Linked DNA regions of Macaca fascicularis. The protein of the gene in region 1 interacts with the protein of each later gene in a pairwise test. Links are inferred from orthologs where the notes say so. Each region holds a gene or a part of one and is shown on either strand. Other genes may lie near its edges.

Region 1 (3,805 bases):
GCTTTCTTCGTGGCCCTGGATGAGGAGTCCTACCGCTATGACCCCGAAGACGAGGCCAGCCTCAGCCTCTATGGCAAGGCCCTGCTACATGGCAACTGCTACAACAGGTGCGGCTGCCCCCGCCCCACAGGTCACAGCTTAGGGTTAAAGGTTAGGGTTATGGTTAGAGGATTGAAGATAAAAGGTAGGTTGTGAGCTGGGTGCGGTGGCACACACCTGTGATCCTAGCAATTTGGGAGGCCGAGGCAGGTGGATCACTTGAGCACAGGAGCTCAAGACCAGCCTGGGCAATGTAGCAAGACCCTTTCTTAAAAGTAGTTAGGATTGTGATTAGTGGTTAGGTAGGGATAGTGGTTAGGATTAAAGGTTAGGGTTTGGGTTAGAGAGTAGGGTTAGAAGCCGGGCGTGTGGCAGGCACCTGTAATCCCAGCTAGTCAGGAGGCTGAGGCAGGAGAATCCCTTGAACCCGGGTGGTTACAGGGAGTCAAGATTACACCACTGCACTCCAGCCTGGGCAACAGAGCAAGACCCCATCTCAATTAAAAAAAGAGAGAGAGAGAGAAGAGAGAATAGGGTTGGTGTTAGGGTTAGTGTTAGGGTAACATCCGAGTTAGGGTTAAAGGTTGGGGTTGCAGGTCAGGCTTCTCTGGACATTCCCAGCTTTGGTTCTTCATGTGTCTACTCTCCCCGCAGGTGGTTTGACAAATCCTTCACTCTTATTTCCTTCAAGAATGGCCAGCTGGGTCTCAATGCAGAGCATGCGTGGGCAGATGCTCCCATCATTGGGCACCTCTGGGAGGTAATAGCCTTGCAGAGGGAACCTGCAGGGCAGGCTGGAGGGGATGAGGCCGGCCTCTCAGCCTCATCCTCTCCCTGCAGTTTGTCCTGGGCACAGACAGCTTCCACCTGGGCTACACGGAGACTGGGCACTGCCTGGGCAAACCGAACCCTGCGCTCCCACCTCCTACGCGGCTGCAGTGGGACATTCCAAAACAGGTGGGTTGGAAGCTCCCAGAGCAGGTGTGAGACCACAAAGCAGCAGGCGGGTACAACCCCAACAAGGCCTGAGTCCCCCTCCTCCTCCTCCTCCCCTGCTGGCCCCACCGCCTGACTCAGCCCTCGGGAAGGCACAGGGCACATCTCAGGATACCCGTAGAGTCCAAACTGGCTTCAGGGAGGACAGAGACCACCCACTGCCCCTGGGGCCATCTGTGTTTAGAGAAGGCCATGAGATGGGGGCGGCACTCACAGGCCCCTGGAGCATTTTCAGCACTTCCCTCTTCCCCACAAAGCTCAGCCCAGCCTCTGGGGGCTGATTCTCCCTCAGATTGTCTTTTGCATACCCTCCTCCTGAAGATGTCTTGGCCAGCTGTGCCCTTCCTCCACCAGCTAAATGTCATGCCTCCTAGACGTGACCCAGAGTCCTGCTTGGAGAGCCCTGCCCTCAGCTGACCCTTCCCATGTCTTGGCCGGCTGTGCCCTTCTTCCACCAGCTAAACTTCATGCCTCCTGGATGTGATCCAGAGTCCTGCTTGGAGAGCCCTGCCTGCAGCTGACCCTTCCCATGTCTTGGCAGTGCCAGGCGGTCATCGAGAGTTCCTACCAGGTGGCCAAGGCGCTGGCAGACGATGTGGAGCTGTACTGCTTCCAGTTCCTGCCCTTTGGCAAAGGCCTCATCAAGAAGTGCCGGACCAGCCCCGACGCCTTTGTGCAGATTGCACTGCAGCTGGCGCACTTCCGGGTAGGGCCCCACTCCCGCTGCTGAGAGGGCAGGGCGGTGCCAGGGTCTGCCTGCCAGATTCACCCCTCTGTATATCCCAGGACAGGGCGCACTGCAGCTGGCGCACTTCCGGGTAGGGCCCCACCTCCCGCTGCTGAGAGGGCAGGGCGGTGCCAGGGTCTGCCTGCCAGATTCACCCCTCTGTATATCCCAGGACAGGGGTAAGTTCTGCCTGACTTATGAGGCCTCAATGACCAGAATGTTCCGGGAGGGACGGACGGAGACTGTGCGTTCCTGTACCAGTGAGTCCACAGCCTTTGTGCAGGCTATGGTGGAGAAGTCCCACGCGGTGAGTGTCCTCTGCCCCGCATGGGGGCCACGGTCGTCTGCCTCCTGTCTACCTGGAGGGTCAGGGCTACTCTTCACCCCTTTACTTCTGCCCCACAGAAAGCAGACCTGCGAGATCTGTTCCAGAAAGCTGCTAAGAAGCACCAGAATATGTACCGCCTGGCCATGACCGGGGCAGGGATCGACAGGCACCTCTTCTGCCTTTACTTGGTCTCCAAGTACCTGGGAGTCAGCTCTCCTTTCCTCGCTGAGGTCAGCACCGTTGTTGGGTGTGTCCTTTGTCCCACTGCCCTCCTACACCCAGGGCTTGGGCCATCTCATGAGGGAGCACGGCCTGTGTTCTGTCTGGCTGGCTCCCCTGAAGCTCCCTGGAGGGCTGGGCCAGCTTTCCTGCCCACACCCCAGCTGGGCCTGCGGTCCTGGGCCCAGCGGGAGCAACATCCTCTTCGTGTCGTTGGTGTTCTTGTGACAGGGAACAGACAAACGTATGATCTGTCAGGTGGTGACAGCACTACTGAGACTAGTGAGGCTGTGGCGGGGAGAGGCAGAGCAGAGTGGGGGCCGGGCAGCTCACACAAGCCTTATGTGGCATGTGCAAAGGGGACCACGGGGTGGTGGCCAGGGAGCTCCTGCACCCTCAGCAGAACCGTGCCTGGCTCAGAGTACGTCGCAGACACCACCTGTCGGACAGGTGCTTTGGGCGTGTGGCATCTGACCGGCTGCGGCCTCCATTGCAGGTGCTCTCGGAACCCTGGCGTCTCTCCACCAGCCAGATCCCCCAATCCCAGATCCGCATGTTTGACCCAGAGCAGCACCCCAATCACCTGGGTGCTGGAGGTGGCTTTGGCCCTGTGAGTGCCCCTGAAGGGGGTGGGTGGGCAACACCAGGGCCCTGAGGGTTTCAGTGGCGAGTGCAGGCCCTGAGGTCAGACCAGAGGCAGGAGCACCTTGCTTAGAGCCTTGCTTAGAGGAGAGCATAACCCCAGACCTGCACAGAAGCAGAATGTTAGCTGTGGACTCAGGCAGCCAGGTGCCTGCGACCCACCCATCCCAAATACCTCCCTGCTGGAGCATGACGGTGCCTGGGGCTGTTTCCAGGGTACTGAGCAGTGCACTGGGTGCTTCTGAAGTCTGCTTATCCAAGAGAGTGCAGCTGTCTCCCACAGAAGCCTTCTCGTGGGCTAGTTTGTCAGAAGGCTAGAGAACCCTCTGGAGAGAGGCAGCGTGATCTAGAGTATAGGCCCCCTGAGGGAAACTGGGGGGTCCTAGATCCCTTGGTGGGGTCTGGGCAGCATTCTTTGGTTTTCACGGTTTCCTGGGGGTGGTCCTCAGGAAAAATGCAGTGTCTAGGGCTGGGGCCCGTTCCTGCAACTCTTGTGGGAAGAACAAGTTCCACATCAGCTTGGTTTTCGGATCTTCAGGGTTTGAGTTCTGCCCTTCTCCTTCACCCTTCGTGTTGCCCTTAGGTAGCAGATGATGGCTATGGAGTTTCCTACATGATCGCGGGTGAGAACACGATCTTCTTCCACATCTCCAGCAAGTTCTCAAGCTCAGAGACGGTGAGTCGGCCGGGCGCGGTGGCTCAAGCCTGTAATCCCAGCACTTTGGGAGGCCGAGACGGGCGGACCACGAGGTCAGGAGATCGAAACCATCCTGGCTAACACGGTGAAACCCCGTCTCTATTAAGAAATACAAAAAACTAGCCGGGCGAGGTGGCGGGCGCCTGTAGTCCCAGCT
Region 2 (4,274 bases), on another chromosome or scaffold:
TGGGCTAACGGCTTCCGAAGCAGATGGCTGCACCATCGCTGCACTCAAGGCTGGGCCTTGCTAATGCTTTCCCAGATGCATATCTTCACAGACAAGAGTAACCACCATGTAAAGAGACCTGGATCTAAGGTGAGCAACTCATCCTAGTTTTCCTGGGGTTTTCCAGTTTTAAATATGAAAGTCCTACAACCCAGAAACCCCCTTAGTCCGAGGCAAACCGGGACAGTCGGTTTGCTTAGACTCCTGCTCCCCCTGCACCCCCAGCTCATCGGAGGATAATGATAATGGCAGCCACCATGTGTGGGCTTATCAAGTGCCAGACACCATGCATTATGGCCTGCATCGCTTCCCTTCTGTCTTATAACAGCGTCACGGTATGGATTTATTCTCTCCTTTCTACAGCTAAGTAGGCTGAGAGTGACGTGATTCGCCCAGAGCAAGTGCTGGTGCTGGGGTTTGAACCCACATGGCTTGACTCAGCACTGTCAATGGTACAGCCTCTTGTGCCTCTCAGCCTGAGCCTGCTGGGCCAGCCTAGGCCCCAGGGAAGGCTCCTCAGAGCTTACCTGGGTGGAGGTTCAGTGGGGATGGGTTTTTGCAGGTCTGAGATACCCCCTACCACACTGCCCCCAGCTCTGCCCAGGCTCTTCTGTGTCTGCACATTTGCCCCCAGCCCCTGAATGGGACAGCCTGAGAAACCCTCAGGAGACATTGTTTCCACCACACCCTGAGCCCTCCTGTCCTGTCACTGTTTTGTTGCTCACTGCATCCCAAGGGAGGAGGCTGGTGCTTAGAAATAAACGCTCGCTGGTGATTTATTGCATGGGCTGGGGGAACCGTCCAGAGCAAGAATGGGCAAGGGAGCAGGGTGTGAGGGTCCCAGGGATCTCTGGAGGTCACTGAGCCAGGGCTTCGGGGGTCCCTGTGCAGGGATCTAATCATAGTTGGGGTCAGCCTGGAACCGGCGTGGGGTGAGGTGGCTGGTCAGGTAGCGCACGGCCGAGCGGATGCCCTCCACCGTCCTCTGCTCCACTGTCTCCAGCACATGGGTGAGGGTGCGCAGGGCTGAGCCAGTCCCTGACATCAGCCCGGAGGAGAAGGCTGAGCTGACGCTTCCCAGCAGGCTGGGGACCGGGCGCAATCTGGGCCCCGAGCTGTGCAGCAGATCTGCCACGGTGCTGTGGCCGGAGTCCAGGAAGCCTGTGGCTATGGCCATGCCCATGGTGGTCTCGGACCACACCAGGATGTCTGCCAGGGAGCTGATGGAGCCCTCGCCCCTGCCCAGCAGACTGGTCATGGAGCACATGTAGCCATTCTCCTCACTGGCCATGTACAGGCTGGGGTCCAGGGGCCTCCTCCCCAGGGCCACCTCGTGGGGGCCAGGTGATGGGGACACACTGCCTGCTGGAGGTGGAGGGAAGAACCAAGCCTGCAGGTCTCCTAAGCCATCCACCACATTTGCCCCCATTGCCACTGGGGACTCATCAGATGGCAAAGCTTCAGCTTCAGGGTATGGGGCCTTTGGATGCTCAGCTTTCTCCTCAGCAGCCTTGGTGGTGCTGGCAGCCTGAGGGCCATGCTGGCCATTGACACCTGCGGTGACGTGGTCAGCATCACTCCCGACGGGCTGAGCCTCCGTGTGCTGGGTGAACTGTGGCTCGGCACTGGGGGCCAAGGGGGCTGACTCCGGCTCTCTCTCAGGAACACTCGCCATTTGTGACGTCTTGTCCTTACCCAAGAGGTGACTTGGGAAAACCACTAGACTCTGACTTGTCCTTGTGTCTTGAACCTGCCTGTCCCACGTTGGATTCTCAAGGCTCATAGATGTTTGCAGGGGACTTGGGTTTTGGCTGGGAAGCAGAGGTGTGATTTTTCCAGGTGTCTTCTGGCCATGTTCTGGAACAACTGCACCCTTGTCTTTGTCTCCAGATGTTGACATGGCCTCGGGGGTGGCCGTCTTGAGGGAGGCCTGATCTATATCCTGCTGGTCGGTGGATGCGGCAGAGCTGCTCACCGCCAAGACATCTGTTGTGAGTGGGACCTGACCTTGGGGCCCTCCTGCTGTGCTGTCCTTAGACACGCTGTCAGCCACGCTGCCCAGGGGGGACCCGGGAGTGCCATGTGTGGGGCTGCTGGTGGAGCCGGCCTCTCCCGAGGGCTCTCCTGGGGTCATCTATGCCCTTTGCTATTTGTGGCAGTTGGAGGGAGTGGCTGCAACCCAGCTGGGCTGAGTTGTCCAAGTGGTGAGGTCACAAGGGACTGTGGCCACTGGTGATGTCACAGGTACCCGTAGAGCAAGGGTCTTGAGCTTCTGGAGCAGCCTTCCAGGTGGGCTAAGTCTACGGGACAGTTTGTTGCCAACTTTGCCGGTACATAGGGAAAAAATGACAAATGTTCTGGAAAGGGCTGGAGGCTTGTGTACAGGGGCAAGTACAGCCACAGGGCCACAGGAGTGAGAGTTGTGACTTTGACAAATGAGAAGGGATGCAGATGTTGATTTAGAACAGTGTTTATAAGGGACCCCTCCCGGCACCTCTCTGTCTATACTGGTGTCTCAAGACCCCAATTTAGGCTGGACATGGTGGCTCACTCCTGTAATCCCAGCACTCTGGGAGGCTGAGGTCGGGGAATCACCTGAGGTCAGGAGTTCGATACACCTACTTGTGCTTAGCTAGGCACAGTGGCTCACGCTGTAATAACAGCACTTTGGGAGTCTGAGGCGGGCGGATCATCTGAGGTTAGGAGTTCCAGACTAGCCTGACCACATGGAGAAACCCCGTCTCTACTAACAATACAAAATTAGCCGGGCGTGGTGGTGTGTGCCTGTAATCCCAGCTACTTGGGAGGCTGAGGCAGGAGAATCGCTTGAACCCGGGAAGCAGAGGTTGTGGTGAGGCGAGGTCGCACCATTGCACTCCAGCCTGGGCAACAAGGGCGAAACTCCATCTCAAAAAAAAAAAAAAAAAACCTATATTAGGAAGATGGTTGGAGAGGAAGACTCAGTCTGTTGTGTGTGTGCTTCTCCAGGGGTTATTGGTTAACATTTAGTGACAGCTTATGGGCAGGAAAAGGCGCGTAGCATCCTTCCCATCATCCGTCAACTCTGGGTAGGTACCGTTCTACTAGTATACCAGTTTACACACAGGCACGCTGAGCCTCACAGAGAATAAGTGACTTACTCAAAGCCACACTACTAATAAGAGCTGAATCTGGGATTTGAACCCTGTCTGGCTTCAATACTAAGCTTTCCAGCACTCTCTCTTACCCAGGAGGCATATTAAAAATGTTCAATGAGGGGCTGGGCATGGTGGCTCATACCTGTAACCCAGAACTTTGGAAGGCCAAGGTGGGAGGATTGCTCGAGCCCCGGAGTTCAAGACCAGCCTGGGCAAAGTAGTATGACCCTGTCTGTACAAAAAAAAAACAAAAATTAGCTGGGCATGGTGGTGCATACCTGTAGTCCCAGCTACCGGGAAGGCTGAGACCCAGGAGGAGGATTTCTTGAGCTCAAGAGTTCAAGGCTACAGTGGGCTATGATCACATCATTGCATCCCAGCCCAGGTGACGGAGCGAGATCCTGTGCCTTAAAAAAGAAAAAAGACATATCTAATGACTGGCATGGTAATGATGCTGGCTGACGCAGGCAGAGGCCTCCCATTAGAACCGGTTCCACCACACCAGCAGGTGACAGCTGCTGTCAGCGCTGAGCTGTACCATCAGCAGCATGGTCATACGTGTATGGAAAATTCCCCTCCCTGAAACTCTCTGCCCTTGTCCTCTCTCCTGCTGCCTCTCCTGGCTGGCTCCCTCCGTCCTCCACTGCTCTGGGATCAGGCCTTCCCTTCAGACTCCTTTTACTGACTCAGCCCAGCCGGCCTCCACCTTAACCCTCTGAGGCTGGCTGCACTTCTGACACCAGGCTCCTCGCTCACTGAGTGTTTATTTTCACCGCAGATACCCTGCCGCCACCTCAGAGGTCACAGGGCAAACCCAGGCTTGTTGGAGTGTGAGGGGCCAATGAGTACAGCCTGTAGCTTGTGAAGGAGTCCTAGAGAGAATGATGGCTGCCCATCCCAGATGACCTTCTTCCTTAGTGTCAGACAATTGCTAAATAGAAATTATAGGAGGCTACTGCTTCGGATGAGGCTCCTGCACCAGGCCCCAGCAGACTGGACTAAACGTCAAGGTGGGGTCACTCACACTGAGGTTCCAAATCACCGGGAGACAGAGATGATTGCCAGTTTCCCAAATGGGCCAGTTTCTTTTTTTGAGAT

Evidence for each region.
Region 2: the proteins of CPT1B (region 1) and TEX44 interact in binary tests that used the Homo sapiens proteins (3 or more experiments, as listed by UniProt). The two-hybrid records come from large-scale screens. The link is inferred for Macaca fascicularis from reciprocal best matches to the Homo sapiens genes CPT1B and TEX44.

Annotation. Positions count from the first base shown.
Region 1 is NC_088384.1:988,864-992,668, forward strand, and holds part of CPT1B (carnitine O-palmitoyltransferase 1, muscle isoform), read left to right. Parts: coding exon 1-107; intron 108-693; coding exon 694-799; intron 800-879; coding exon 880-996; intron 997-1,493; exon of another isoform or gene 1,494-1,576; coding exon 1,577-1,741; exon of another isoform or gene 1,742-1,853; intron 1,854-1,934; coding exon 1,935-2,069; intron 2,070-2,167; coding exon 2,168-2,320; intron 2,321-2,805; coding exon 2,806-2,919; intron 2,920-3,534; coding exon 3,535-3,627; intron 3,628-3,805. UniProt on the Homo sapiens protein: Catalyzes the transfer of the acyl group of long-chain fatty acid-CoA conjugates onto carnitine, an essential step for the mitochondrial uptake of long-chain fatty acids and their subsequent beta-oxidation in the mitochondrion.
Region 2 is NC_088386.1:127,507,810-127,512,083, reverse strand, and holds the start of TEX44 (testis-expressed protein 44), read right to left. Parts: upstream 2,962-4,274; 5' UTR 2,174-2,961; coding exon 935-2,173; 3' UTR 1-934.